4 linked regions of the Saccharomyces cerevisiae S288C genome follow. Changing the gene in region 4 together with the main gene of any one other region gives a genetic interaction. Each region holds a gene or a part of one and is shown on either strand. Other genes may lie near its edges.

Region 1 (7,871 bases), on a different chromosome or scaffold from region 4:
CCAACATGTCCCCAAACTATAAAAGTTTCGCTTCCTGGATATACCAAAGCGGCTGCCTTGGCATATTCAGGCGCAAGTTCCTTTGAGTAAACGCCCAATATTCTCTTGTTTACGTGGCTAACTGGATGTAGAAGTGGTCCCAGTACGTTGAAAACAGTCGGAATTCCAAGAAATTTGCGTATCTTAGAAACGTGGCCCATTCCATGATGAAAAAAAGGAGCAAGTAGAAACATGAACGTATTATCAGGCCAAAGTTTGGGCACTGTCGATGAATTAACCTTGAACATGTCACAGCCTAAAGTTCCAATTAGGTCACCAGCTCCACTATTGGATGTAGAAGCTTTACCACCGTGCTTACAAATTTTTAGGCCCTGAATTCCGGAGGCAACGATAGCAGCAGACGTGGAAACATTAAAAGTATTCTGTCCGTCACCACCAGTACCTACAATATCTAAGATTACTGGTCCATCTTCCGGGTGTAATTCGTCCTTCTTGGGTAAAGGTAGATCAACAAGGTCGGAATGTCTGAGCACAGCCTTTGCAGCTTCCGCAATGTATTCAGCCTTGTGATCAAGTTTAGTAACTCTCAAGGCCGTGAGAAAACTCGAAACTTTGGTATAGATGGAAAGACTCTCATCGCTATTTGTATCACATTTTTGCAAAAGACTTAATATAACCAGCAACGCATCGTGTAGGTCTGTGCTACTCAATTGCGGCGGAGAAGCCAATAATTTCTTGGTGTAAGATAGCAAAGTCGCCTCGGACATGATAAGGGAATACTAAGTTTTCTTGTGATTATTGCAGTTTAAATTCACTTAGTTGTCAGTAGCTGTAATATCAGATGCTTTATTATAAAGTTTTCCAGAAGAATGAATGCAACAGAGTTTATGTTTACTGAATTGTCTGGTCATGAATCATTTTTTAGAGAGTCAATCTGCGTAGGTTTTTTTTTCCTTTTGGCAAAGACGACAAGAAAAATGCAGGTGGGGAAGCGCAGCAATAATATTAGTCATAACTTAATAGTCGGTGTATAGGCAACCACGCGTTACAAAGTAAGCCGATGGCCTATGTCATGTGTCTAAAAAGTTTAATTCAGACACGCAATATATGTAGATTATGTATTGGCTTTCTCTAATAATGGGGAAAAGAAATAAAATTCATGGTTTGCTTTTTATTAAAGAAAAGGAGAAAGTAACGATTTGTTGGATAAGTATACAAAAATTTGAGTGTATCTATTTTATAATGGAAAATTCATCTATTCTAGGGAAGTTAAGTATTTCTCAGCATCCAAAGCGGCCATACAACCAGAGCCAGCAGAAGTAATAGCTTGTCTGTATTTAGAATCCTGAACATCACCAGCAGCGAAAAATCCTGGAACGGAGGTTAATGAGCTGCCTGGGACAGTTTTAATGTAGCCCGCTTCATCAGTGTCGACTTGGCCAGCGACAATCTTTGTTGCTGGAGTGTGGCCAATTGCATAAAATAAACCGCTGACTGGCAAATCGGTTTCTTCATTCTTTTTAGTGTTCTTAATCCTCAAGGCATTCAATAATTTACCATCCCCCTTAGCTTCTAGCGCAACAGTGTTGTAAAGGATTTCAATTTTTTCGTTCTTCTCAGCACGCTTTTGCATAATGGTAGAAGCACGCAAATGGTCTTTTCTGACAAGCATAAACACTTTTGAGCCGTACTTGGTCAAGAACTGAGCTTCTTCACATGCAGAGTCACCACCACCAATGACGGCCAATGGCTTGTTTCTGAAAATGGGGACGGCACCATCACACACGGCACAGGCAGAAATACCTTTTTGCCAGTAGGTTTCCTCGCCCGGCAAATGCATTCTCTTAGCAGAAGCGCCTGTGGCCAAGATTATAGCGTCAGTCGTCACAGGTTCTGCGTCTTCGTTAAATTCGGTCCATAGCTTGAATGGTTTGGAAGACAGATCAACTTTGGAAACTGTTTCCGTGATAATTTCAGTGCCAAACTTCGTGGATTGTTCTCTCATTCTGTCCATCAGTTCGCTACCTGTTAGACCATCTGGGAAACCTGGGAAGTTTTCGATTTCTGTAGTGGTGGTTAGCTGGCCACCGGCAGCAATACCGTTCGCCATCATACCTTCATATAGGATTGGCTTGATTTCTGCCCTGGCCAAATAGATGGCGGCGGTGTGTGCAGCTGGACCTGAACCAATGATAGTAACTTTGTTGTGAACCATTATTGATAATATGATGTTTACTTTCGTACTGTTCGCTATTTGCTGTATAGCACTTGTAGGCAAGTATAACTGAACTACAGAAATTAATCTACAAGCTCTTGAAACCTCGAGCAGTTGGGTCCACTCTTATACGCGTGGGCATTTTTTCCTTTTTCGAGATACTTGCGGGCGATTTTTTTTCTCCATGACTAAGGAGAAGCTAACCCAGCCAAAACCCGCCCCCAAATGGCTAGGCAAAGTGAAAGATTATTAATCCAGAACAGAATGAAACACTTACTGCCGTACTGTATACTGAAGCGTTCACAGTGAATACATAATAACTTTCATTATTAATATTAGTGTGACAAACTATATGTGTTTGTAGCTGTTGCGAATGCAAACAAGACATAGACGGTTTTACGTAAAACTGGCGCTAACTATAGTTGGGTACTTTTACACAGAGTACGAACGTAGTATTCCTATTGGGAAAAAAGGGTCTCGCAAGGACTATCCCAAGAGCAGAGTGCATTGTTTAAATATAAATGGTAGTACTCCGTAGGGAAAACTATGTTTGCGTTTCACCAGACAACAGTGATGTACGTTCTGTCACTAGTTGCGCTGCACTGTCTTCTTCAGGACTGTATAGTTCTCTTTCCAGTTCACGTAGTTGCATATCAGTTGCATAAAGGATATAGTATTGGTAGAAGTATATCAAATCAAACGCAATTGTTCCAGCACTTCCAAATATAAAGGGCAACTCATTCACGATGAATTCCCTCTTGTTCTGATTATCTAAAAATCTACAGCTTGTGAAGATGCTCAAATTATACGTGATATTGCAGAGTAGTGTAGTAGCAAATAGGAAGGGAGATAAGCCGTCTGTAGACTTTCTATTGTAATTCTTGATTAGTTGTGGGATACGTGCGCCTACGTAGAAGGAAGCGCCAATCCAAGATAAAATTGTACCCAGCTGGCTGTTTTTACCATCTCCGGGAGGCCCCACTTGTGATTGGGTGGAGCCTACATTTAGCGGATATGCGCTAGCTGTACTTATAGTATGAGCTATAGCCAAGGCTGCTGTAATGGCAGACCTTCTTCTACTGCTTCTAGGGCTTTCTGCACTGCTACCACCTTGTATCATGTCCTCTTCCTCCCTCAAAAGCTCACCATTTTCAACCAGTTCGGGAAGAAGAGGTTTAGGCTCATGGCCGACAGTCGCCAATTTATTTTCATGCAGCACGCCATAGTAATAATATTGACCACATACAAAAGAATCATTCAATAGAAAATAAATTGCTAAAAGTATCTGAAATAACAATTGCCCTGTTAGCTTTGCCCCTATCAGCGAGGTAATATCCCCACATAACCAAGCCAGCAAAAAATATGGCGATAGCCCATCGACAGATTTATCTCGATAAGTCTCAATTATTTGTGGAAACAATGAAATAACAGAGGTGAAGAAGGATAATGATCCGCACAAATTAGATACAGTAGGCCAGATGCCGTTTGAGCACGACATGAAAAGATTCTTATTTTCACTTTATAATTTTTAGCACCGATAACAACGAACCTTATCGATTGATATCAATAGATACTGGCTTAAGGTAATGAAAAGATTGCTTCTTTATTTGTCTTTGTTGGAGACGAATATTAATGCCTGCAAAAAGTACTTGACGTTTATGTGCACGTTTACGTTTGTTTTTTTTTGATCCCTCCTCAAGCGAAGAGATATACTAAAAGATATACTTAGTGATAACACTGGTACCTATTGTCACTACAAATCACTGAGCGAAATCTTTTTTCTTCGCGAACAATTTCTTCCATGCTGCGAAATTTTGCAGCACGTAAGTGAATGCCGTAGAAGCTAGCAAAAAAAAATGGTGATGAAAAGGTTAATAACAAAACACAATAAGGGCATTAGTTCATTGTTTATTAAAAATATATTATTATATTAATCGAAAGTAATTTCTGTATGTATGCATTTATAAGTTTCAGAGTGAAAATGAACTTAAGAAGAGATAGTCTGGTCACCAAACTTTTAGTACGTGCCACATACACGCTAACGTAATTTTCGGTAGTAGTGCAACCACCACTTTGTGAAAATATTATTGAGGTTTTCCTCTTCGATACTATCCTCCGTATACAGTGGAATACAAAAATGCTTATCATCCAAATCTGATAAATGTTTCAGATTATCATATCCGAAGTGGTAGTTTAACAATACGTTAACTGTTAGTGAAACCAAAATCTTATAATTTACAATAACCTTCTTAGATCTATAGTATTCCCATACTTTGTCTTTGAATATTTCCATTTTTACGGGGTAGTTTGCAAAGTTTTGGCCATTATGAACGATAATTACATCCATTACCCACATAAAAAGTTTATGGTCCATTCTTTGCAATATGTTCCACCATGTATTGCTATTCAAACATCCGCCATTGAATTCATTTTTGAACTCATCTTTTCGTAAAAGATGGGCAACAATTCCTCTGGGATTTAATATTCTTGAATCGTATTTTTCCTTGCAAATTTCACTGAAGCACGTCATCTGTATCAAGTTGACCATTTCCCATGTTTCCTTCAAAGTCCCAAAAGATTGATCAGTTAAAAAATGGTAGAATAGCATCTCATCACCAGTAACCAAACCTTGTTGAGATATAGATTTCAGTTGCAGTAATAGCATCAAGTCAGAAACCACTTGCTTATCTGTTCCATTTTTATAAAAAACCTTTTCCTGTACATCGTGTTCAATAAGCTGTCTTATTTCAAATTCTTTATCTTTGGGAAAATCCATTTTGTTGAGTAGCTGCATTACTTCCTCAAATGATTCAATAAAACATTTTGTTATCAAGCAATTGTCACTTTGTAGAAGTTGACTATATATTTGAAGCCGTACTTTAGATATCAAAGGTGTTTCCCAAATAATTTTCTTTAATTCACTTAATGACGAGTTACGAGTAATGCCTCGGTCCAGTAAATGCTGGAATTTGACCTTATTCTGCTCATTCTTTTTGGCTTTTTCGTCACGTTCTTTATTTTTTTGCAACTCTTCCATTGATGCTAAGTCGATATTTTTGTAGATTTGTTTATCTTGCAATTTCCTCTCTTTGAAATCCTTGGGCGGGAGCCAACTCGGACGGAAATGACTTACGGCCTTTAGTTTGTCCTCTGAAACTAGCATTAGGTCTTCCATTCCCTGACTACTGGCTTCTTTAAATTCCAGTGGTAAACTCTGTACAGATCTTGAACGACCAGAAAGAATACTTTTGGAGATTTTTTCGGAACTATGCAGGTATATTTGGGAGAGATTTTTCATTGTATCCTGGATGTACTGTGAATCAGACACAGGAGATATACCAGGAATGCATGTTGGCGGAAGCTCCTTATAGTCCAGACATGATTCTTTTAAAGTGTTACTTGAATTTGATGTATGTTTTCTAGTACTATGAACCTGATGGAAAGTTTTGTCCACACAGAGAGCCGAAGATGAGTGTTGTTTGCCTTCGCAATTGTTCTCCTGTATTAATATCTCTTCATCCCCCCGCGCTGAATCTAAACTCATTTCTTTTCTATTAAACTTAGATAATGTTAAAAAAGAACTGGTCGATAAAGATGCCATTGGAATGTTCCAAATTAACGAGCCGTCGACATCGCCCTCTTGAAGTTCCAAGTTAACGTCTTGATCTTCATAAAATTTTTCTTTCATTTTTATGGCTTTACGCAAAGATTGGTCATTTTGCTCTTTCCTTAAACGGTAACGTTGAGAAGGAGTAAGTTGGGTTGTTTTATATGGTAATATTACAGAAGTACTATTGGAATGCACATACGGCGTTTTTGTGATCGGCATGAGTTTTGGTTCTTGGATAGTTGCGGTACTCATGCAATGATGTTTAAGAGGAGAGTCATTCTCGCTTATGAATGAAGTTTGTGATGCGGCTATACTGTTGGTTGTATTGCTCGATCCAGGCAGCCCTACTGTCCTGGAGAGTTTAGGAGTTGACACCGAATTTTGACGAGATGGAATGCATGTAGTTATGGTACTCATTGAGCAGATTGTTTTATCAGCGCTACTTGCTGTACGTGTTTTCTGTAGTATTGATCCCGGTCGGCTTTTCTTTAAGGGCGTAATATTGCTTCTATGGTCAGCTTCTCTCATACTTTTGAAGAAGCAGTTATCCTCCATCTTACTGTTTGCTATTTCACCCTCTTCTGAGCTTATATCTGATGTACATAAAGAATCAGATGTCGTATTTGAGTGCGATGAAGAAAATATCTCTGTGCTCGATGTACCTATAGAATCATCTGATATTGGCCTAATGCACTTCGCTGTGGGTACGTGTGGATTATTATTACCTAATACATTTTTAACAACATCTTGGCTAGCGAAATTGAAATCTAGGTTGGAGCTAGGGCGTCTTGTTCCAATATTCTTTCCGTTCGAACCTGTAGTGCTACTGGATGCACTACTGCCTGATCGGGATTTAGACAACGGAAGGCTGCAACTTTTGCGTTCGGTATATTCTGAAAGCATCAACTCCTTTGTGGAAAACTTCTTAGGTTGATTTTGTTTCAGATGCGTTGAGTCCTCCTCCTTTAAAGGGTCTAGCTTAGACGTATTAGGAACTATATTAATCAAACGACGTGCTGTCATACAATAAAATTGAATGTCACAGAAAGCTAAAGAGCTGAAGTAAAATAATGAAGCAAAGGTGGAAGCCCGAAAATAAAGTTAAAATTCAAAGCTTGTAACGAACGTATGAATGAAAGCACTAATTGAGAAAAAACTGAATTTTGTCAAAACAGCTCTATGTTTCAGAATGATAAAAAGGAGAGTTAAAAATACAATGGACAGTGGAATACAGCCAAATGCTCGATAGCTTTCGCAGAAACAGTACAATTAAAGATCAACACTTGTATTCTAATTATAGCAGGATCGATGTTACATCTCTTTTGCTCTCTAATCGGAGCTGAAAAAAAAAAAAAAAAGCGTATATAGTGATCTACGCTGATTAACATTATAGATTGCATAAAAGGGAAAAAGGAATTACATGAAGATCTATTCTGCGCGACACACTTTATTGGCGTACTGGCAAGAATGGGCTTTCAAATCTTCCAAGCGTTCACTTTAATGTTCTTATTGGCATGTTAAAATGTATATGCCGTGTCTATTCCCAGCCTTTGGCTCAAATGGTCACTTCACCGCTGTTTAAACATATGGGTAGCGCAGGGACATACACAATTCTACCTATTACAAATCTGCGCCATTTATCTACGAAAAACTGTCCATTGAAAATTAAATCAAATCGTTCAGAACCTTTGCAGTTTGGCGATTTTGAACGACAGGTGCCATGTTCTAGGAAGAGCGGATCTTCGAAAAATGTTCAGAAGCGTTTATACGAGCTCCGACAATTGAAAACTGTATTAAGTGAGACTTTTGGAGTAACTGAATACGCCTCTTTTTTTGAATCTCTACGAAATGCCCTGCATATAAATAATTGCTCAGAAAATGAAAAGAAGAAACTTTTATATGATATCATTTTGCATCAACACGAGTTATACCCAGAGGTGGCAAGAAAAATTGGATTTTATCTACCAGGTGAGGTCCACAGATGGTTCTGGTATCATATTCCAAAATCAGAATCTTTTAATCACTATCTTTTTCTTTTGAAAAGTG
Region 2 (4,796 bases), on a different chromosome or scaffold from region 4:
AGCTGAGGGCCGTAGTCTCGAGCTCTTCTCTCTGTTTCGCCAGGCTCACCTGTGCCGCCATCATCTGCTCTTCGAATGCTCTTTCACTGCTGATAGTAACCAGCGTATTATACGTAACAATGCCCATAAATGCGACAATATTAGTTGTGACAAACATCAAATTACCAGGCGCATTGAAGTATCTCCACAGTGTACGCAGATATGGGAATGTATCACCATTACAGCTCAGGAGAAGTCCGTTTGTCCTTGTGAAGTTTGTCACTGGTTTCTTCCTACTTCGAGAAAAATGCATATTCGTCTTAGAGTTTACGGAATAAAAACGCTTCCATAAAAGTCGCCATACTGTGCTAATACTCCTCTTCCCCTTTTTCAAATGCATCGTGTGTTTCCACGCCTGCTCGGGTGCCTTTGCTGTCTCCAAGCTACTGTTGTTATCCGTTTGTTTTATACTTTCCTTATTTTGTAATTTACTATTGGATGTATCTCCCCGCGTGAAGTCACTAGAACGGTTTAAAATAAAACTTTAATAAATTTATAAGCGTCAGCAAATACATATCAATAGAGAGCGTTTTCATTACATTGTTGTATTTTTATTCGATTGATTGTATATGTTTATATAAATGAATTAAATTGTTCTGATATTAACTGAAAATTACATTGCAAGCAACTGCCATGATGGCGAAGACCAACTTTCCTAATGGCAAACGCGTTTGCGATCCACTGCCCATATATTGGCTAATTGTTACCATTGATGAAGTTTGGTATTGTATGGAGATTGAAGTAGTGGAAACTTCTGTAGTGGTAACAGATGTTTGTAGAGAAGAGGGAGCAGATGATGATGAGAGGAAAATAGAAGATACCGTCGGAGTCAATGATGAAGATTCAATAGTCGATTCCACAGAGGTAGATGGTGTAGAGATAGATGTTGCGGAAAGTGATGATGTAGAGGCAGATATTGTAGCAATAGCTGTGGAAGAAGTGGGTTGTAAAATCTCTGATGTTGAAGAAATTTGAAGTGTGGTAACTGGTGACTGTTCGACACTTAGTGATGATACAGAACTGAATAGCAAAATAGTACTGTCAGAGGATAATGTAGCAGACAAGGAGGAGGATGAAAGGACCGATGTCGATAATAAGTGTGATGATTGTTCTTGAGATTCTGAGTCAATGCTTGATGTACTCGTGGCTTCACTTACACTAGTCGAAATGGTTGAGGTACCTGAAGATGTTACATGATACTTACCGGTAGCGTGCTTATTGAAATCTTCATCCGAAGTTGTCATTGAACTTACCCAACTCTTTGTGGATGTGGTCTGCTGTGTTACAGAACTTGATGAAGCTGTTTGCACGGAAGAATACGAGTGTGACGTTTCAGCACATGTGGAGCATGCATATGAGGATTCAACCGTTGAGGTGCTTACAGAAGTTGCGACGTTTTTAGTGGACATTTTTATAGAAGATGTAATCAAACTTGTTGTCTGCGAGGGCATGCAAGACTCGTGAGTGCAGACTGTAGCGTCTGTTGTAACCGTTTCATGCATACTGGTTAATGTGCTAGTCTCAGATTCAGAGCTATAAGGACACCATGTCGTATACATTGTAGTGACTCCACTAACAGTGGTGAAATATGTAGACATGGAAAATGATGGGATAGTAGTAGAAATTGAGGATTTGGTGATATATTCAGACGAACTTTGTGAACTAACAGTTGTTTCAACAGTTGAAGAAGTCATAGAAGGAGTTGCAACATTTGACGAAGTCGAAGGGACGGAGTAAACAGGTGTGGATGGGCTGTATAATGACACAGACGTTGATGAAGATGCTATAGAGGAGCCAAGGGATGAAGTTGAATCAGTAAAAGTAGAGCTAATAGATGTTGAACTTGGAGAAGTGGAAGCCAAAGTTGGAGATGAAGAAGTCAAACTTGGGGATGTAGATGTTGAATATGAAGAAGTGGAAGTGGAGCTTGCAGAAGTAGATTTAGAACTTGGAGATGTAGATGTTGAACTTGATGAGGTAGATGTAGAGCTTGGAGATGTAGATGTCGAACTTGATGAGGTAGATGTAGAACTTTGGGATGTAGATGTAGAACTTGAAGATGTGGATGTCAAACTTGAAGATGTGGATGTCGAACTTGGAGATGTAGATGTCGAACTTGATGAGGTAGATGTCGAACTTGATGAGGTAGATGTCGAACTTGATGAGGTAGATGTAGAGCTTGGAGATGTAGATGTAGAGCTTGGAGATGTAGATGTCGAACTTAGGGAGGTAGTAGTTGGATTGGACGATGTTGTACTCGAAAGTGTAGAGGTGACAGGTGAGATTATAGAGGCACTTGATGGTTCAATGGCGCTGGATGATACCACGGTTGTAGTTCCTACTTCGGATAATGAGCTGATAGCGGTTGTGTGACAAGTAGGGCAAATATATGAAGTGAACTTGGAAGTCACAGATAAGGTGGTGGTTGGCAACGTCGATGACGAAGGACATGCCTCATGGGAGCAGACTTCTGTAGATAATGTCAAAGTACTAAATCTGGATAGGGTAGTAGCGTACGATATTGAAGGACTTATTTCGGCAGCAGATGAAGTGGATACCGTCAATGGACACCAAGTCGTATACAATGTCGTAGTGCCAGCTTGAACGATAGTGGATGTGGAGACTAGCGCGGGTGAAACTGTAGTTGTAACAACCCCATTTGCATCGTTTGTCTTGGTTATCGTCACTAGAATCGTTTCTGGATCAGATGCCAAGGCAATATTAGTTAATCCCAACAATATTGTGAACAGGTAGGTAAAATGAGCGAAAGATAATGTCATCTGAAATTTTTTGGTTTTTTTAGCTTTTATTGTTAATGCTCGCCGTTTTTCAAAGATGAACGTAAATACTGGAAAAGTTCACGATAATTATTGATGATAGATCATTATTCTGCGCTTATATACGTTTTAATTGCTTGCTGGGAACTGCTTATTTGCGATAGTCGCTTGTTTTAAGTCATTACTATGTTTTAATATTGTTTCAGAAAATTATGTTACAGCCGCGTTTTGACTTGAAACGTGCAATATCCAAAAAGAGACTTTACAATTGAAAGCTAACCTAAAATTTGAGAAGATATGTGACAGGTACCCTAAATGTAGATTGGGTGGCTGCTGAGATCTTTAAGTATGAAACGGGTGGACGTACTTGTGCTAAGTGGTGCTGTTAGACAGCTACGAATAAGGAAATTCCGAAGCATGTAGGGAGGTCATGATATGAAAAAGCAAAAGAGTAGGCATCAAAAAGTTTCTCATTCAAGTGGTAACTGCTGTTAAAATTAAGATATTTATAAATTGAAGCTTGGTCGTTCCGACCAATACCGTAGGGAAACGTAAATTAGCTATTGTAAAAAAAGGAAAAGAAAAGAAAAGAAAAATGTTACATATCGAATTGATCTTATTCCTTTGGTAGACCAGTCTTTGCGTCAATCAAAGATTCGTTTGTTTCTTGTGGGCCTGAACCGACTTGAGTTAAAATCACTCTGGCAACATCCTTTTGCAACTCAAGATCCAATTCACGTGCAGTAAAGTTAGATGATTCAAATTGATGGTTGAAAGCCTCAAGCTGCTCAGTAGTAAATTTCTTGTCCCATCCAGGAACAGAGCCAAACAATTTATAGATAAATGCAAAGAGTTTCGACTCATTTTCAGCTAAGTAGTACAACACAGCATTTGGACCTGCATCAAACGTGTATGCAACGATTGTTTCTCCGTAAAACTGATTAATGGTGTGGCACCAACTGATGATACGCTTGGAAGTGTCATTCATGTAGAATATTGGAGGGAAAGAGTCCAAACATGTGGCATGGAAAGAGTTGGAATCCATCATTGTTTCCTTTGCAAAGGTGGCGAAATCTTTTTCAACAATGGCTTTACGCATGACTTCAAATCTCTTTGGTACGACATGTTCAATTCTTTCTTTAAATAGTTCGGAGGTTGCCACGGTCAATTGCATACCCTGAGTGGAACTCACATCCTTTTTAATATCGCTGACAACTAGGACACAAGCTTTCATCTGAGGCCAGTCAGAGCTGTCTGCGATTTGTACTGCCATGGAATCATGACCATCTTCAGCTTTTCCCATTTCCCAGGCCACGTATCCGCCAAACAACGATCTACAAGCTGAACCAGACCCCTTTCTTGCTATTCTAGATATTTCTGAAGTTGACTGTGGTAATTGGTATAACTTAGCAATTGCAGAGACCAATGCAGCAAAGCCAGCAGCGGAGGAAGCTAAACCAGCTGCTGTAGGAAAGTTATTTTCGGAGACAATGTGGAGTTTCCATTGAGATAATGTGGGCAATGAGGCGTCCTTCGATTCCATTTCCTTTCTTAATTGGCGTAGGTCGCGCAGACAATTTTGAGTTCTTTCATTGTCGATGCTGTGTGGTTCTCCATTTAACCACAAAGTGTCGCGTTCAAACTCAGGTGCAGTAGCCGCAGAGGTCAACGTTCTGAGGTCATCTTGCGATAAAGTCACTGATATGGACGAATTGGTGGGCAGATTCAACTTCGTGTCCCTTTTCCCCCAATACTTAAGGGTTGCGATGTTGACGGGTGCGGTAACGGATGCTGTGTAAACGGTCATTGTGCTGGTGCTCACTGTCTGGGAATTTTCAATCTTGCATCACCATTACCAGCACGATGGATGCTCTTTATATATCAATCTTCGAGAAAAGGCTAAACGAGCCATTTCGGCGATTTCGGCATCGTGGAAAAGTTTCACAAGAATCAGGCCAAAATTAAAAGTAAGGTTATCAG
Region 3 (9,401 bases), on a different chromosome or scaffold from region 4:
ATTATGTAAAAATGAATAAAAAAGGTCCTACCCGGATTCGAACCGGGGTTGTCCGGATCAAAACCGAAAGTGATAACCACTACACTATAGGACCAGTACAACTGTAAATTGTTGTATCTCAAAATGAGATACGTCAGTATGACAATACGTCATCCTAAACGTTCATAAAACACAGATGAAACAACCTTATAACAAAACGAACAACATGAGATAAAACCCGGCCTTCCCTAGCTGAACTACCCAAACGTATAAATGCCTGAACAATTAGTTTAGATCCGAGATTCCGCGCTTCCACCACTTAATATGATTCATATTTTATATAATATATAAGATAAGTAACATTCCGTGAATTAATCTGATAAACTGTTTTGACAACTGGTTACTTCCCTAAGACTGTTTATATTAGGATTGTCAAGACACTCCGGTATTACTCGAGCCCGTAATACAACATAAATTTAGCCGTAAAAAAATCAACTAACCCTACAGTAAACTAAACGTAGTACTTTGACACCGATAAACAGGTGAAATATTGAAAAATCGGCAAAAAAATACATAATTATTAGCACTTTACTGTTATTGAACATTATGATATCAGGTATACAAGATATTAGGTATACAAGGTATACCTGAGAAACTGGTGAATAATTCGATAATTGTTGGCATTCCATTGTTGGGAGAGGCTATTATATCATGTATACAGAATATAGTAGAAGTTCTCCCCAAGAATATAGGAATCCTCAAAATGAAATCGATATCTCTACATAGTGATACAACGATTATTCCTCATTCCGTTTCATATGTTTCATTATCCTATTAGATTACATTTCAACTTTCACTAGATTTTAATACTTATAACACATTTTTAAGCAGCATGTGATAATATTCAGGTAACATTAATAATACTAAGCAGATGACATTGGAATTTCGTTACAACAATACCTCTAATATTGCTTCTGCCGAAATCAAATTATGATAAGAACCAATCATCATCCATCGTCTAATATTGTAAACTAGTATACCATCATATACGGTATAAGAAGATAATATAAATTGAGAGACAGCCATCAAAAATTGATGGAAACTGAAATGTAATCTAATAGGATAATGAAAGACAAAGTATAACGGGAAGGAAGATAAAGTAACACCATCGATTCTCTTTTGTGAATTCCTATAACGTCGGGAGAATTGCTTGTATACTATGTATACCTAATGTTATAGGATTCGGCAACAATGCAATCCGAACAATTATCAAATTACTCGCCAGTTTCTCAGGTATATATATTATCCTGAATGTTCTCTCCCAGGAGTATGGACCCTTAAAAGGCAAATCAATAATCTTAATATAATGTTTTAATTGTTTTTCTTTTTCTACGTTTCTGAAAATTACGATTAATCCATTCTATTAAATTGTCAACTCTGCGTTATTCCTTCACCAAATTTGAATACGAATCAGACAATTCTAAAATTACGTCATATTTTAACAACACATATCATAATATTCCACCAAAAGTCGCTTTTGATTAATAAATGATACAGTATTTTTTTCCCAACGAACGGTCAGTAACATATCAGTAGACTCTAAACACATTTTGTATCAGTACACCTTCTTACACTGCTAAAATGTTTTGGTCTTTTTTTGTTTACATTAATATTTTCATTTACGCAACAGAGAATTGCCGCTAAATATGAACCAGCTACAAACAACTGGGTATGTATTAAATATAAGAATGCGAATTGATACCCTTATTACATAATTTTTTGATGCTCATCAGTATCAACAAATAGAATATAGCAAACGGAATTACCGGACATTCTAACATTTCCTGGAGAATATCTGCTAGAGTCAAATCAAATGATGAAGACTTTCGGTTAGCGTTTCAGAAATAAACAATGATGATTAATCCAAAAAATTTCGTATTTGAGAAGTAAGACAGTGAATCGAAGTGGTTCTCCTATGGATTGTTTTAGACCCTGGGAACGTCACTGCGGTGTTTTCGCCCGTCATACCAAGATGGGGCGGAGAACGGAAAATTTGATGGCGAATGTACACTGCCAAGGACAAACAGGGACGATAAAGTGTTAAAGTGGTGATATAGTCGGATCCGCGGTTAGCCGTAACCATTGCTTTCCAATGGTTTACGCCTGTAAAAAGAGCAACTTAGATAATTGTCGGCTTCACGTAATTAAGACGTATTAACTCAAAGGAAAAGAAAAGAGGGAATATGGTAAAGGAGACGGAGTATTATGATATTTTGGGCATCAAGCCTGAGGCCACGCCCACTGAAATCAAAAAGGCCTATCGTAGAAAGGCTATGGAAACACATCCGGACAAGCATCCTGATGACCCAGATGCTCAAGCAAAGTTTCAAGCCGTAGGCGAGGCCTACCAAGTCTTAAGTGATCCAGGGCTTCGTTCCAAGTATGACCAGTTTGGTAAGGAGGATGCTGTTCCTCAGCAAGGATTTGAAGATGCTTCTGAATACTTTACAGCAATATTCGGTGGTGATGGCTTCAAAGATTGGATTGGAGAATTTTCTTTGTTCAAAGAGCTAAACGAGGCAACAGAAATGTTTGGAAAGGAAGATGAGGAGGGTACAGCAGCCACTGAAACCGAAAAAGCAGATGAGAGCACTGATGGTGGAATGGTTAAGCATGACACTAATAAAGCTGAATCTTTGAAAAAAGATAAATTATCGAAGGAGCAAAGAGAGAAGCTAATGGAAATGGAGAAAAAAAGACGGGAAGATATGATGAAACAAGTCGACGAGTTGGCAGAAAAACTGAACGAAAAAATCTCTAGGTACTTAATTGCTGTGAAGTCCAATAACTTGGAGGAATTTACGCGAAAACTAGATCAAGAAATCGAGGATTTGAAATTAGAAAGTTTTGGTCTAGAGTTATTGTATTTATTGGCCAGGGTTTACAAGACAAAAGCGAATAATTTTATCATGTCCAAGAAGACTTACGGAATTTCTAAAATATTCACTGGTACACGCGACAATGCTAGATCTGTTAAATCAGCATACAATTTATTGTCTACAGGCTTAGAAGCTCAAAAAGCCATGGAAAAAATGAGTGAAGTCAATACTGACGAACTAGACCAATATGAACGTGCCAAATTTGAGTCCACAATGGCTGGTAAGGCACTTGGTGTCATGTGGGCTATGTCGAAATTTGAACTGGAAAGAAAACTAAAAGACGTTTGCAATAAGATTCTAAACGATAAAAAGGTCCCTTCCAAGGAACGTATTGCAAAGGCAAAAGCAATGCTGTTTATTGCCCACAAGTTTGCCAGTGCTAGAAGGTCACCAGAAGAAGCTGAAGAAGCTAGAGTTTTTGAAGAGCTAATCCTAGGTGAGCAGGAGAAGGAACACAAAAAACATACTGTGGCCAGATAAGCTCAGCAAGTTAATAACGCCTCATGTATATTTTTCATATATAGCGCAATCAATTACAAAGCGAAGAAAAAAAACCCTATGTATTCTAGACATATCACAGGCATACGGGTTTTCTCACACCAACCTTTCAAGTCTTCAGCACTTATGTTTTAACTTATTTTCTATTATTCAGTATATATATGGAATTAACACTGGCAACCCAAGCATCTTAGCCGAGATTCGCGGAGAAAATTGAAATCAAGAATAATAAAAATTCTTGATTCACGGTCATAAGAGGCTGAAGCAACAGCAACCGGCTCCCCAAGAACTACAATACGCGTCCGATATACTTTCTTATCAAATATATTGGTAATAATAAAGGCTGCAGTTCTTTTTTTAATATAGTCTTTTTACATTTATTGCAGCTAACAAACGCAATTTTTCTTTCCCTTTCACTCGTGCGGTTTTACCAGGATTGATTATATCGCACTGTGACACTATGGATTCACAAAGAAGCCATCATATTTTAACGAGATTAACCAAGATACGGAGAAGACCTCAACAACCGTTAACCGACTTTACAGAACTTTACAGTAGAATTGCCAATGAGACAATATATTACTTGAACCTAGAAGAGAAAAAACGATATAAAGAAGCATTGCAAGGATGGAAAGCGCTTACCACTGATGTACTATTCAAACAGACATTGATAGAGCATAACTACCCAAATACTCAATCATACACGAAAGATGAAGTTAGTTTACAGAACGGTATTCGAGAATTGTACCACAAGAGCGTTATGCATTTGAAAAGAGTCAAAAAATTGGTCCGAGAAGAGCCTGCTCCCAGGAATGATATGCCGTCATCCAAAACATACACTAATCATAGCTCATCTTTCACAAGGTCTACTGAACCACCTCCTGTATTCCAAATGGTTCCCGGAAGAATGATGAAAACATTAAGAAATAGAAATGCATGCGGCTATAAAACCGCATACTCCAACCCCTCACTATCATCATATGGTAACAGCACATCGATAAAACGCGGAGAAGATGCGGAGAACATTAGAGTAAATTTTGTACCTTCTAAGCCTTTATCCAACAATGCAAGCAGACAGCACAAGAACCCTATTGAGCACAATGATCCTCCACTTAAGAAGGAAACTGAACTGTACTCAGATAAATATATCTCAGAGCCAATATTGATAGATTTGACTAATGACGAGGATGATCACGATGTCGGCATTTTAAAAGGACACAACGTTTTTGATGAAGAAGAAAGTGATGGTTTCGAGTTTGATGTGTCCGATTACTATGATAATTTCTCCGAAGTCGACGTAGAAGAAGAAGAAGAAGAAAAAGAGGAAAGACGACGTATAAAAACGTTAGAAGCAATTCAACAGCAAATGTCTGACTTGTCTGTTACTTCTTCTACGTCCAGTAATAAGAGTGTAAGTTCTTCAGAAAATGTTCCCGGATCATGCATACAGTCCCTGCCGACTACCGCCCCTGCTCTTCCTTCATTACCTCCACCTCCTTTATTAAATGTCGATAGAGCGTCCAGCACTGGCGCTCTAAAGCCACATAGTTTAGAAACTTCTACTACTATGGATTCATCAAAGATTAGGAATCCTCAAATATCAAAATTAATGAAGAATAATCACGTACCATACTTAAAGGGTACCAAATCAACGCCCACTCTTATCACTAAATCAACGCCAACATTTATTACAAGATCAAAAAGTAATACAAAACCAATCATCAAATCCAATGCATCGTCTCCGACCTCTTCTCTGACTGTTCCAAATTCAGTAATTCAAAAACCCAAAACGGCTGCAATGGCTGCTAAGAGAGTTCTGAACAGCAAAAAGGTTGCGAGTAACCCCGCATTAAACACTACGAAGAAGAGTCACCCCATTTTGAAATCCAAAACGGCGAAAGTCCCAAATTCCAGTTCGAAGAAAACGAGTAGCCATCCTTCCAGACCTGTAAGTAACTCAAAACCATACTCGCATGGTGCATCCCAGAATAAGAAGCCATCGAAAAATCAAACCACGTCTATGAGTAAAACGAATCGAAAAATACCAGCACAAAAAAAAATCGGTTCTCCAAAAATAGAAGATGTTGGAACAGAAGATGCCACTGAACATGCCACTTCCCTAAATGAGCAAAGAGAAGAGCCTGAAATAGACAAGAAAGTCCTGAGGGAGATTTTAGAAGATGAAATTATTGATAGTTTACAAGGTGTAGATAGGCAAGCTGCAAAGCAAATTTTTGCCGAAATCGTAGTGCACGGAGATGAAGTTCATTGGGATGATATTGCTGGTTTAGAAAGTGCAAAATATTCTTTGAAGGAAGCAGTTGTCTATCCGTTTTTGAGACCAGACTTATTCAGGGGGTTACGTGAACCAGTCAGGGGGATGCTCTTATTTGGACCACCAGGTACAGGTAAAACAATGCTAGCGAGAGCTGTAGCTACAGAGTCGCACTCCACCTTTTTCTCTATTAGTGCTTCCAGTTTGACATCTAAATACTTGGGTGAAAGTGAAAAATTAGTGAGGGCACTATTTGCAATTGCCAAAAAATTGTCACCTTCTATAATATTTGTTGATGAAATTGACTCTATCATGGGTAGTAGGAATAACGAAAATGAAAATGAGTCAAGCCGAAGGATAAAGAATGAATTTCTTGTTCAGTGGTCATCCTTGTCCAGCGCAGCGGCTGGTTCAAACAAAAGTAACACTAACAATTCTGACACCAATGGCGACGAAGATGATACAAGGGTACTGGTACTTGCCGCGACAAACTTACCATGGTCTATTGATGAGGCTGCAAGGAGAAGATTTGTGAGAAGACAATATATCCCATTACCAGAGGACCAGACCAGACACGTTCAATTTAAGAAGCTTCTTTCCCATCAAAAGCACACGTTAACCGAATCAGATTTTGATGAACTGGTAAAGATTACTGAGGGCTATTCAGGAAGTGATATAACGTCTTTAGCGAAGGATGCTGCCATGGGCCCACTACGAGATCTGGGTGATAAGTTATTAGAAACAGAGAGGGAGATGATAAGACCCATAGGCCTTGTGGATTTTAAGAACAGTTTAGTGTATATCAAGCCCTCTGTATCCCAGGACGGATTAGTGAAGTACGAAAAGTGGGCTTCACAATTCGGATCATCAGGTTCATGATGATGATAATAATAATAATAATATAATAATAATGGTAATAATAAATAATATTCTAGCCTAGCTGGACAAACTGTGTGCACATAAGCGGATCGATAAAATATGTTCTGCATAATGTCACCTTTTCTTTTTTTTTTTTTTTTTTTTCTTTTTTTTGACTACTTAGTTTGTTAAACAATTTAATATTAGCGTAAACTATTACTAATCTAATCCATGACTGGTCGTAGGTAGTCTTACCCAGACCCTTCTTCTCACCAAGCCATTTTTCGATTTCCACCTAGAGTTATTGAAATTCCAGCTATAACACCATCCTTGATCGTCAATATCGTACTTTTCCTTGTAATCCATCAGTACGAACCACTTTGTCATCTGTGAACTGCTACTGCCTGCAGTGCGTTCAGTACTCAGATCGATAGGATACAGTTCTATGAAGTTCGATATAGTATTTTTCGACAGGGCAATTAACGAGCCATTTTCAGTGTTTAGTCTTTGAAATTGTGGTGGGTCAACGTGAGGCAGTAAAATCTTGGGAGAAAATAGTGGGTAACCAAGTAAAGTTATGCCTCTCTCGTTTTCTATGAGTACGTCCTCCGGTAAAGCAGAGAAATCCTTCAAGAAATGGTTTTTGCCCATATATCTCTATGTATGATTGTATTTTAACGATGAAAGAAACCTTGTTACGATTGCAAAGTCTTCAATTTCCTGGAAAATAGTAGCCTTTTGGTCCCACGAGCCCAATTACGTAGACAAGATTCAATCGCTTTGTTTAAGCGGAGATAAACTTTCACAAAAAAGATAATGCACACAAGCCAGATTTTCATTAAACACTGTAGAAGGTGAAAATGTCGCGTGACAGTATATGTAAAGGCATATAATAAGGTTTCAAAAGCAGAAAGCGCAAAATATCAAGGTGCAAATTATTGCTTCCTTTGGTTCCATCAGCCTCTTTCTGTACGTAAAAAACAACATTTGCATGTACATGTTTTCTAAGTTAATCTGCGACCCAACCCGAATAGCTCTCTTTTACCCTTATTTTCAACCGTCAGCCCCTCTTATTGGTTGGAACGCCTCAATATCAGAGGTCAAAGTCAAGATATCTTGTTATCATCGGTGTTAGTGCCCAAATTGCCAATTGAACGCCTCTATCAAACTGAGGAACAAACCAGCGCTCGCAAAGGAAAACGCGTTTTCTTTTGGCTGCTTTTCTTTCGAAGTGCAGGAACGAGCAGTATTTGGTTGCCATTGTGCGGCACACCCAAGCACACAACGATGCGCTAGGCCAATTGATTCATTACCGTTGGTGTTTCAGGTATTCGTGCTCATCAACGTGACTATTCAGCAACTGAATTAAACTGCTCTTAATAACTTATGTGCACCGTAAGCCAGTCAGTGCTAATGAAGGAATCAATCAGGAGTCGTACAGTGCGTAGGCACACTTTTTTTCCGCAGCTGTTTACTAAGGGTTGTGTAACGTCTGGGTGTGGAGGGGCAATTACCGTAAAGATGCTCTCGAAATTACAATACTACGGTACTTTTCCCCACGGAAAGTTGTATCTCGGAGTTAAAAAGGGAGTGGCACGAGATTCATACAATGGCGTGCAGGCAAAATGATTACTACCGAAATCGAAGCAAGATGATGTTCAACCTTAGGACATCGAAGCTGTACCTCTGCATGAAGTAAGCAGAACAAGGCAAAGTTTAGTTTTTCAATGCTCGCTTCTGCTGGCACTGTTAGTTTGCAGCACATGAGTAGCAGTGGCGCGATTATATCCCCGTTGGGCCATCAAAGCGCAGCTTTTTGTGGTATCAGATAAAATAGTGGTACGCTAAGGCTCTGCGTGAGGAGTTAAGCAATATGCCAAGTATTACTTTGTAGACTTAATTTTAAAATGCTCTTAATTTTAATTTCTATTTTTCTATTTTCTATTTTCTATTTTCTATTTTACTTTTTTTCTTTTTCTGGCTTTTTTTAGTAGTGATATATAATTAGTTTTTCATCTGAAAGATATTTAGGGCACCATTTTCTTTTGTTCTTAGATGCAGATATTCTTTGGCGATTTACCCTGGTGGTACAGAAGATTATGTTACATAATTCATCAATTTTTTTTATGTTAGTTCATCTTCAAAATCTGCTTTAACTGGTTATTATTAAAATATAGTAAATCTAGATCTCTCAATCTGAGTGCTTACCGACTAAAAGCGCAGAAACTGTATTCTTATTATTTTTTTTTTTTCACGGCAGCTAATTGTACTGAGTTATATTAATAGTACTGGAATAACACCAGGTAACGACTAAGGAACCAAATAAAGTATGGACTATAAGCATAATTTTGCTACAAGTCCAGATTCTTTCCTAGATGGAAGGCAGAACCCACTCTTATATACAGATTTTCTATCTTCAAACAAGGAGCTTATATACAAACAACCATCGGGTCCTGGTCTTGTGGATTCTGCCTACAATTTTCATCACCAAAACAGTTTGCATGACCGTAGCGTGCAAGAAAACCTGGGTCCAATGTTTCAACCCTTTGGCGTCGACATCAGCCATCTTCCCATTACCAACCCTCCCATTTTTCAAAGTTCTTTACCAGCGTTTGATCAGCCCGTGTACAAAAGACGCATATCTATCTCCAATGGTCAGATTAGTCAATTAGGCGAAGACTTAGAAACGGTTGAAAATCTTTACAACTGTCAGCCTCCGATCCTATCGTCTAAGGCGCAACAGAATCCCAATCCTCAACAGGTGGCAAATCCAAGCGCAGCCATATACCCAAGCTTTAGCTCGAACGAATTGCAAAACGTGCCACAACCACACGAACAAGCTACAGTCATAC
Region 4 (6,762 bases):
CTATTAAATCATTTACGGTTAATCCCACGCTATAACCCGCCGTTGTTGCACTTGTCGAACCCTTGGAAGCGATAGTACCGCCGGTACCAAAAATTTTGATTGATGGCAAAGAAGAATTCTTCTCTTCACGAATTTTTAGTAGTGGAGCACCACTGGACATTGCGACAAAGAGAGAAAGTAAAAGGGTATTTAAAGATCTCATAGTTGGAGGTTGGTGAGTACCAGATTGCTTACAAAAGAATAGCGAGCCAACATTTGCTCTGCCTCAGGCCTCTTGGTGCTGCTTGAAGACTCATCTTATATGGCTTTTGTATGTCATGATTTGTTCTTGTACATTATGTGTTGATATTAAACAAATTGATTTTTTTTTTTTTGCGATAGCAAGCAGATAATGAAAGAGACAAGGACTTGGAACATCCGATAAGACTGCGCCGATATCGATCTTACAGTCCTTCCCTTGTGTCATGACTTTCGGAAAAGCATCCTCGTCGACTGGTAGTTTGCTGTCTGTCACGTGCTGAAGGGTCTGATACATTTTTTTAAAGATAAGAGACGGGGTTTACCCTTCGGAGGACTAAGCGAGATCTCCAAGTAAAGATCTCGCTTATCAAGAAAGCAGCCAAGTGTGGAACGTCCTTTTTTTTGGTTTCAAAAAGATATTCAACAGTTTACACTGCAGCTTTAATTGCCTCAAAAGGATATCATGAGGTGATCTAGGGTCAGAAGGGAAAGATTACAGCATCTTGAGTTGAATCACATCTGCAAAAGGTGGTATTATTGACGTTGCTCTTCCTTAATGGAAACTCATGGGGTTTGGAAAGGAGGTGCGGTAATCTATTTTTTTCGAACACAAAACCTAACCTTGAAAAGAAACTGTCCAATTTCATTGAACTTACCTCAGAACGGGCCGGAGTCTTTGCTTTCAGTCTAACATGGTCTAATTTCTTCGAAAAGCTTCATTTAATTGTTAGACTGTGGTTTTACAAGGAAAAAACCAGTGCTATACTGAAGCGATACCCAGAACTAATTACCTTGTGTGACGATTCGGCTCAGCGAAACGGACATGGTAAAATTGGGAATTTGAAAGCAGGCAGCAGCCTTGTACAGCGACATGACGATAGGTTTAGAATCCCCATCACGTACGAGTTGAAGAATTCTACGAAGGCTCTATGCGTTATTCCTCTATCGGTATAAAGTGTAGCGTTGTAGGGGGGATATTGGTGGTTTAGTTGAATTTGCGCAACGAAATTATAGAACTCATAAAAGTTCAATTCAATACTTGAAACCCTTAACGTTGGTTCGACCATCAATTGTTTGGACATAATAGTTTTATTCTGCGGCCGATTTCAAAATTTAGTAAATCAAATGTTGAAGCATCACCAGTAGGATGACCACTCCCATGACAAAACTCCGTCCCAAAGATAGCTTGATCATCCTAAGCGGGTCGCATTTTACTATCCCCAGTTCCGAAGAATAACAAGGCTCAATGCATATGCTGTTTATCGTGCTCACAAGGCGGTATGACGTTTTTAGCAATGTAATTATATTAAAAAGATCTTCAGTCACTATGAGTGGTTGATTGCCCCATAGAGAGCTATAAGCCGACGTGAAAGCTGCTGGTTCCAGCTTGGCTCATGTCGTCACCAGTCACTAGTCACTTGGTCGCATTCATTGCTACTCATCTGCGAGTGAGCATATTTGAGATCTGACTTGCCAAGGGATTAGAATCACGTAAGACTCTTGATCCTTAGAAGATATTTCTGACAAAGAACCACCTAAGCCATGCAAGTTTTTTTTTTCATTTGGTGGCGAAACAAAGGTGATGAAAGTTTCTTCTTGTACAAACGCCAATCCCGATAGGTGAGACAATTCTTGAAGTAATGGACCTCTGAGTAAGCATATCAGTCGAATGAAGTTCCAATATGCGTTGGCCAAGGAACAGCTAGGCAGCAACTCGCGCAGTGGCGTCAAAAAACTAATAAGTAAACACCACTGGCTTCCGGAATACTATTTCTCTGATCTCTCATTTTCTGTTGTACAGCAGTGGGACAGTAGAGCCATTGAAAAAACTACAATCATATCTTGTATGCGGCCCGCAAACCAAGAGATTTATCCTTTGAGACATTGTGAGACCCTCCGTTCGCAACCGTGCTCTCTGTTTTCATCACTATATGCACGCTCTTTCCAAAGCTCCTGCACTTTGCACGTGGCGGAGCCATCGCCCGGCTTCCATATGTACGGCTGCCACACCTAACTATTTCGGTTGCGGCCATATCTACCAGAAAGCACCGTTTCCCGTCCGATCAACTGTAGTTAAGCTGGTAAGAGCCTGACCGAGTAGTGTAGTGGGTGACCATACGCGAAACTCAGGTGCTGCAGTTGTTTTTTTTTTCGCGCACGAATACATCACGCAGCCTCGCCTTGACACTGCTCAAGGGATAAGGGGAAGGAGCTGAGATAGAACTGAGTTGGAGCGTTGCAGCGGCACGAGCAGTGAAAAGAGCGAAGAGAAGAGAAGCAGATAAAAGACCAAAGTAGCGATGATACTTCGATGTTTGGAGCGATTTTTCCTATGTGAATATTAGAAATCATATGTTTTGTATCAGCTGAACAGTGAATGATGTGCTCAATACTCAAATTCATCTTTTTGTTTGCTAAAAATAGCTTAACTGGCACATCATGAAAAGGATGTAGAAATTATAGAGTATATTTACTACTAAGAACTATATAAAAACACAGTGTGATGAAAAGTCACTGATCAGGCTTTAACCACCGTAGACGCCAGAAAAAACAGACCTAATCTGATCCATGCCGTAGCCGGAGTACAAACATAATTGTAGCAAAATACGCGATTTTTGAGGGTTTAGGTAGCCAGATCCAATGGCGTACTCTGGGGCATCATCTGGAGGAACTGTACCATCTGCTGTTCTTCTGCTGTGAACAATTGGTATACCATACTCTTCATAAAGTTGTTCGTTTACAATACTACCCGTAGCAGTCCAGGAACCAGCTCCAGAACCCGCCAACACGATACCTTTTGCGCCCAGGTCCTTGACGGCCTTTACTATTAGCTCAGGATTCAAGCCTTGATAGGAGTACAGAATAATGACTTCTGGAATTTCCGAAGGGTCTGTGAGGTTGGAAATGTCAAAAAATTGCCATCCATTTGGCTTGACTGGTGGGTAGTAAAACTCCACGTCATCATTTGAAAAGTAACCTAAATATCCCTGTTCATCCGCTCTGAATGTATCTAAAGAGTTGGCATTCATTTTCGTTGTCCAAAACCCAGAGGCAATACGATCGTTTAGAGTGATCATCGTGCCACGACCCAGTGATTTCTCAGAAGCAGCAATAGACACTGCTTGATATAAATTCATTGGGCCATCAGCAGACGTGGCAGTGGCTGGACGCATAGCGCCTGCGATACATACTGGCTTCTCTGAATTTATGGTCAAATCTAAGAAGAAAGCTGTCTCCTCCATAGTGTCGGTCCCATGAGTGACAACCGCACCAGCGTAGTCATCAGAGGCTAGTGCCTCGGAGATACCGTGATACAATGGGATCAGATGCGTATAGTTTAAAGAATTTGAACCAACGTTAGACACTTGAAGATAGTCCAGATTTGCCTTCTCAGCTAAAGATGGGACGGCTTCTATTAAATCATTTACGGTTAATCCCACGCTATAACCCGCCGTTGTTGCACTTGTCGAACCCTTGGAAGCGATAGTACCGCCGGTACCAAAAATTTTGATTGATGGCAAAGAAGAATTCTTCTCTTCACGAATTTTTAGTAGTGGAGCACCACTGGACATTGCGACAAAGAGAGAAAGTAAAAGGGTATTTAAAGATCTCATAGTTGGAGGTTGGTGAGTACCAGATTGCTTACAAAAGAATAGCGAGCCAACATTTGCTCTGCCTCAGGCCTCTTGGTGCTGCTTGAAGACTCATCTTATATGGCTTTTGTATGTCATGATTTGTTCTTGTACATTATGTGTTGATATTAAACAAATTGATTTTTTTTTTTTTGCGATAGCAAGCAGATAATGAAAGAGACAAGGACTTGGAACATCCGATAAGACTGCGCCGATATCGATCTTACAGTCCTTCCCTTGTGTCATGACTTTCGGAAAAGCATCCTCGTCGACTGGTAGTTTGCTGTCTGTCACGTGCTGAAGGGTCTGATACATTTTTTTAAAGATAAGAGACGGGGTTTACCTTCGGAGGACTAAGCGAGATCTCCAAGTAAAGATCTCGCTTATCAAGAAAGCAGCCAAGTGTGGAACGTCCTTTTTTTTGGTTTCAAAAAGATATTCAACAGTTTACACTGCAGCTTTAATTGCCTCAAAAGGATATCATGAGGTGATCTAGGGTCAGAAGGGAAAGATTACAGCATCTTGAGTTGAATCACATCTGCAAAAGGTGGTATTATTGACGTTGCTCTTCCTTAATGGAAACTCATGGGGTTTGGAAAGGAGGTGCGGTAATCTATTTTTTTCGAACACAAAACCTAACCTTGAAAAGAAACTGTCCAATTTCATTGAACTTACCTCAGAACGGGCCGGAGTCTTTGCTTTCAGTCTAACATGGTCTAATTTCTTCGAAAAGCTTCATTTAATTGTTAGACTGTGGTTTTACAAGGAAAAAACCAGTGCTATACTGAAGCGATACCCAGAACTAATTACCTTGTGTGACGATTCGGCTCAGCGAAACGGACATGGTAAAATTGGGAATTTGAAAGCAGGCAGCAGCCTTGTACAGCGACATGACGATAGGTTTAGAATCCCCATCACGTACGAGTTGAAGAATTCTACGAAGGCTCTATGCGTTATTCCTCTATCGGTATAAAGTGTAGCGTTGTAGGGGGGATATTGGTGGTTTAGTTGAATTTGCGCAACGAAATTATAGAACTCATAAAAGTTCAATTCAATACTTGAAACCCTTAACGTTGGTTCGACCATCAATTGTTTGGACATAATAGTTTTATTCTGCGGCCGATTTCAAAATTTAGTAAATCAAATGTTGAAGCATCACCAGTAGGATGACCACTCCCATGACAAAACTCCGTCCCAAAGATAGCTTGATCATCCTAAGCGGGTCGCATTTTACTATCCCCAGTTCCGAAGAATAACAAGGCTCAATGCATATGCTGTTTATCGTGCTCACAAGGCGGTATGACGTTTTTAGCAATGTAATTATATTAAAAAGATCTTCAGTCACTATGAGTGGTTGATTGCCCCATAGAGAGCTATAAGCCGACGTGAAAGCTGCTGGTTCCAGCTTGGCTCATGTCGTCACCAGTCACTAGTCACTTGGTCGCATTCATTGCTACTCATCTGCGAGTGAGCATATTTGAGATCTGACTTGCCAAGGGATTAGAATCACGTAAGACTCTTGATCCTTAGAAGATATTTCTGACAAAGAACCACCTAAGCCATGCAAGTTTTTTTTTTCATTTGGTGGCGAAACAAAGGTGATGAAAGTTTCTTCTTGTACAAACGCCAAGCCCGATAGGTGAGACAATTCTTGAAGTAATGGACCTCTGAGTAAGCATATCAGTCGAATGAAGTTCCAATATGCGTTGGCCAAGGAACAGCTAGGCAGCAACTCGCGCAGTGGCGTCAAAAAACTAATAAGTAAACACCACTGGCTTCCGGAATACTATTTCTCTGATCTCTCATTTTCTGTTGTACAGCAGTGGGACAGTAGAGCCATTGAAAAAACTACAATCATATCTTGTATGCGGCCCGCAAACCAAGAGATTTATCCTTTGTGAGAAATGGGTGAATGTTGAGATAATTGTTGGGATTCCATTGTTGATAAAGGCTATAATATTAGGTATACAGAATATACTAGAAGTTCTCCTCGAGGATATAGGAATCCTCAAAATGGAATCTATATTTCTACATACTAATATTACGATTATTCCTCATTCCGTTTTATATGTTTATATTCATTGATCCTATTACATTATCAATCCTTGCGTTTCAGCTTCCACTAATTTAGATGACTATTTCTCATCATTTGCGTCATCTTCTAACACCGTATATGATAATATACTAGTAATGTAAATACTAGTTAGTAGATGATAGTTGATTTCTATTCCAACATACCACCCATAATGTAATAGATCTAATGAATCCATTTGTTAGTTAATAGTTTAAATGTTTTTATCGGAAGAGGTTTTGTCATCACATCAGCAATGTTCTTCTTGGTCTCGATGTAGTATACGTATAAATTATTACCTGATACTTCATCTCTAAGTCTCATTGCCTTTGTGCCAAAAAATCTGTTTCTAAATTTCTCTTCATTTGTAGACTTAATTATACTGATCGTTGATCTACTATCAGTAAGTAAGCCTTTAATAATTGGTTTCTTGTTAAGTTCTTGTATCAGGTAACTTAGATTATTTAATAATGGGACAGATTCACTTATCGCGTGTATTTCTGCTTCCGTAGTTGAAGTACATGTTAATGAAGCCTTGGTGGACTTTCCTCCAATTACCTTTCCATTAAGTAAATATATGTTGCCAATTTGTGATTTATAATACGGTTGGTTGCCATACGAAGCATCACTTATTGCGACTAGTTTATTATCTGGCTCGGTAGGTTTGTTTTTGTGCCATATCAGTTGTTTATCTCTAGTGTCCCACATGAATTGTATCAACTCATATGTCATGTCTAAAACTTGCCTAGAGGGGAATAGTATATGTTGAGCAAGTGTGTTGATGTAGTATAGTAAGTCAAATCTAAATTTATATCCAAC

The links.
Region 1: mutations in YLR156C-A (region 4) and YPQ2 together harm fitness less than expected from each alone (positive genetic interaction), as found in Saccharomyces cerevisiae (one large-scale study listed by BioGRID).
Region 2: mutations in YLR156C-A (region 4) and AGA1 together harm fitness more than expected from each alone (negative genetic interaction), as found in Saccharomyces cerevisiae (one large-scale study listed by BioGRID).
Region 3: mutations in YLR156C-A (region 4) and SAP1 together harm fitness more than expected from each alone (negative genetic interaction), as found in Saccharomyces cerevisiae (one large-scale study listed by BioGRID).

Annotation. Positions count from the first base shown.
Region 1 is NC_001136.10:1,177,643-1,185,513, reverse strand, and holds YPQ2 (Ypq2p), read right to left. Parts: upstream 3,714-7,871; coding exon 2,760-3,713; downstream 1-2,759. Other genes in the region: TRP4 (anthranilate phosphoribosyltransferase), read right to left, coding at 1-767; thioredoxin-disulfide reductase TRR1, read right to left, coding at 1,256-2,215; SBE2 (Sbe2p), read right to left, coding at 4,254-6,848; ATP22 (Atp22p), read left to right, coding at 7,340-7,871. UniProt on the Saccharomyces cerevisiae protein: Amino acid transporter that moves arginine across the vacuolar membrane. Active during nitrogen starvation when it exports stored vacuolar arginine to the cytosol, for use as a nitrogen source.
Region 2 is NC_001146.8:701,722-706,517, reverse strand, and holds AGA1 (Aga1p), read right to left. Parts: upstream 2,820-4,796; coding exon 642-2,819; downstream 1-641. Other genes in the region: PET494 (Pet494p), read right to left, coding at 1-379; diphosphomevalonate decarboxylase MVD1, read right to left, coding at 3,433-4,623. UniProt on the Saccharomyces cerevisiae protein: Cell wall anchoring subunit of the a-agglutinin heterodimer.
Region 3 is NC_001137.3:240,979-250,379, reverse strand, and holds SAP1 (putative AAA family ATPase SAP1), read left to right. Parts: upstream 1-3,876; coding exon 3,877-6,570; downstream 6,571-9,401. Other genes in the region: CAJ1 (Caj1p), read left to right, coding at 2,223-3,398; SPO73 (Spo73p), read right to left, coding at 6,769-7,200; ACA1 (Aca1p), read left to right, coding at 8,879-9,401.
Region 4 is NC_001144.5:470,204-476,965, forward strand, and holds YLR156C-A (uncharacterized protein), read right to left. Parts: upstream 2,408-6,762; coding exon 2,276-2,407; downstream 1-2,275. Other genes in the region: asparaginase ASP3-1, read right to left, coding at 1-202; YLR156W (uncharacterized protein), read left to right, coding at 1,910-2,254; asparaginase ASP3-2, read right to left, coding at 2,766-3,854; YLR157W-D (uncharacterized protein), read left to right, coding at 5,561-5,773.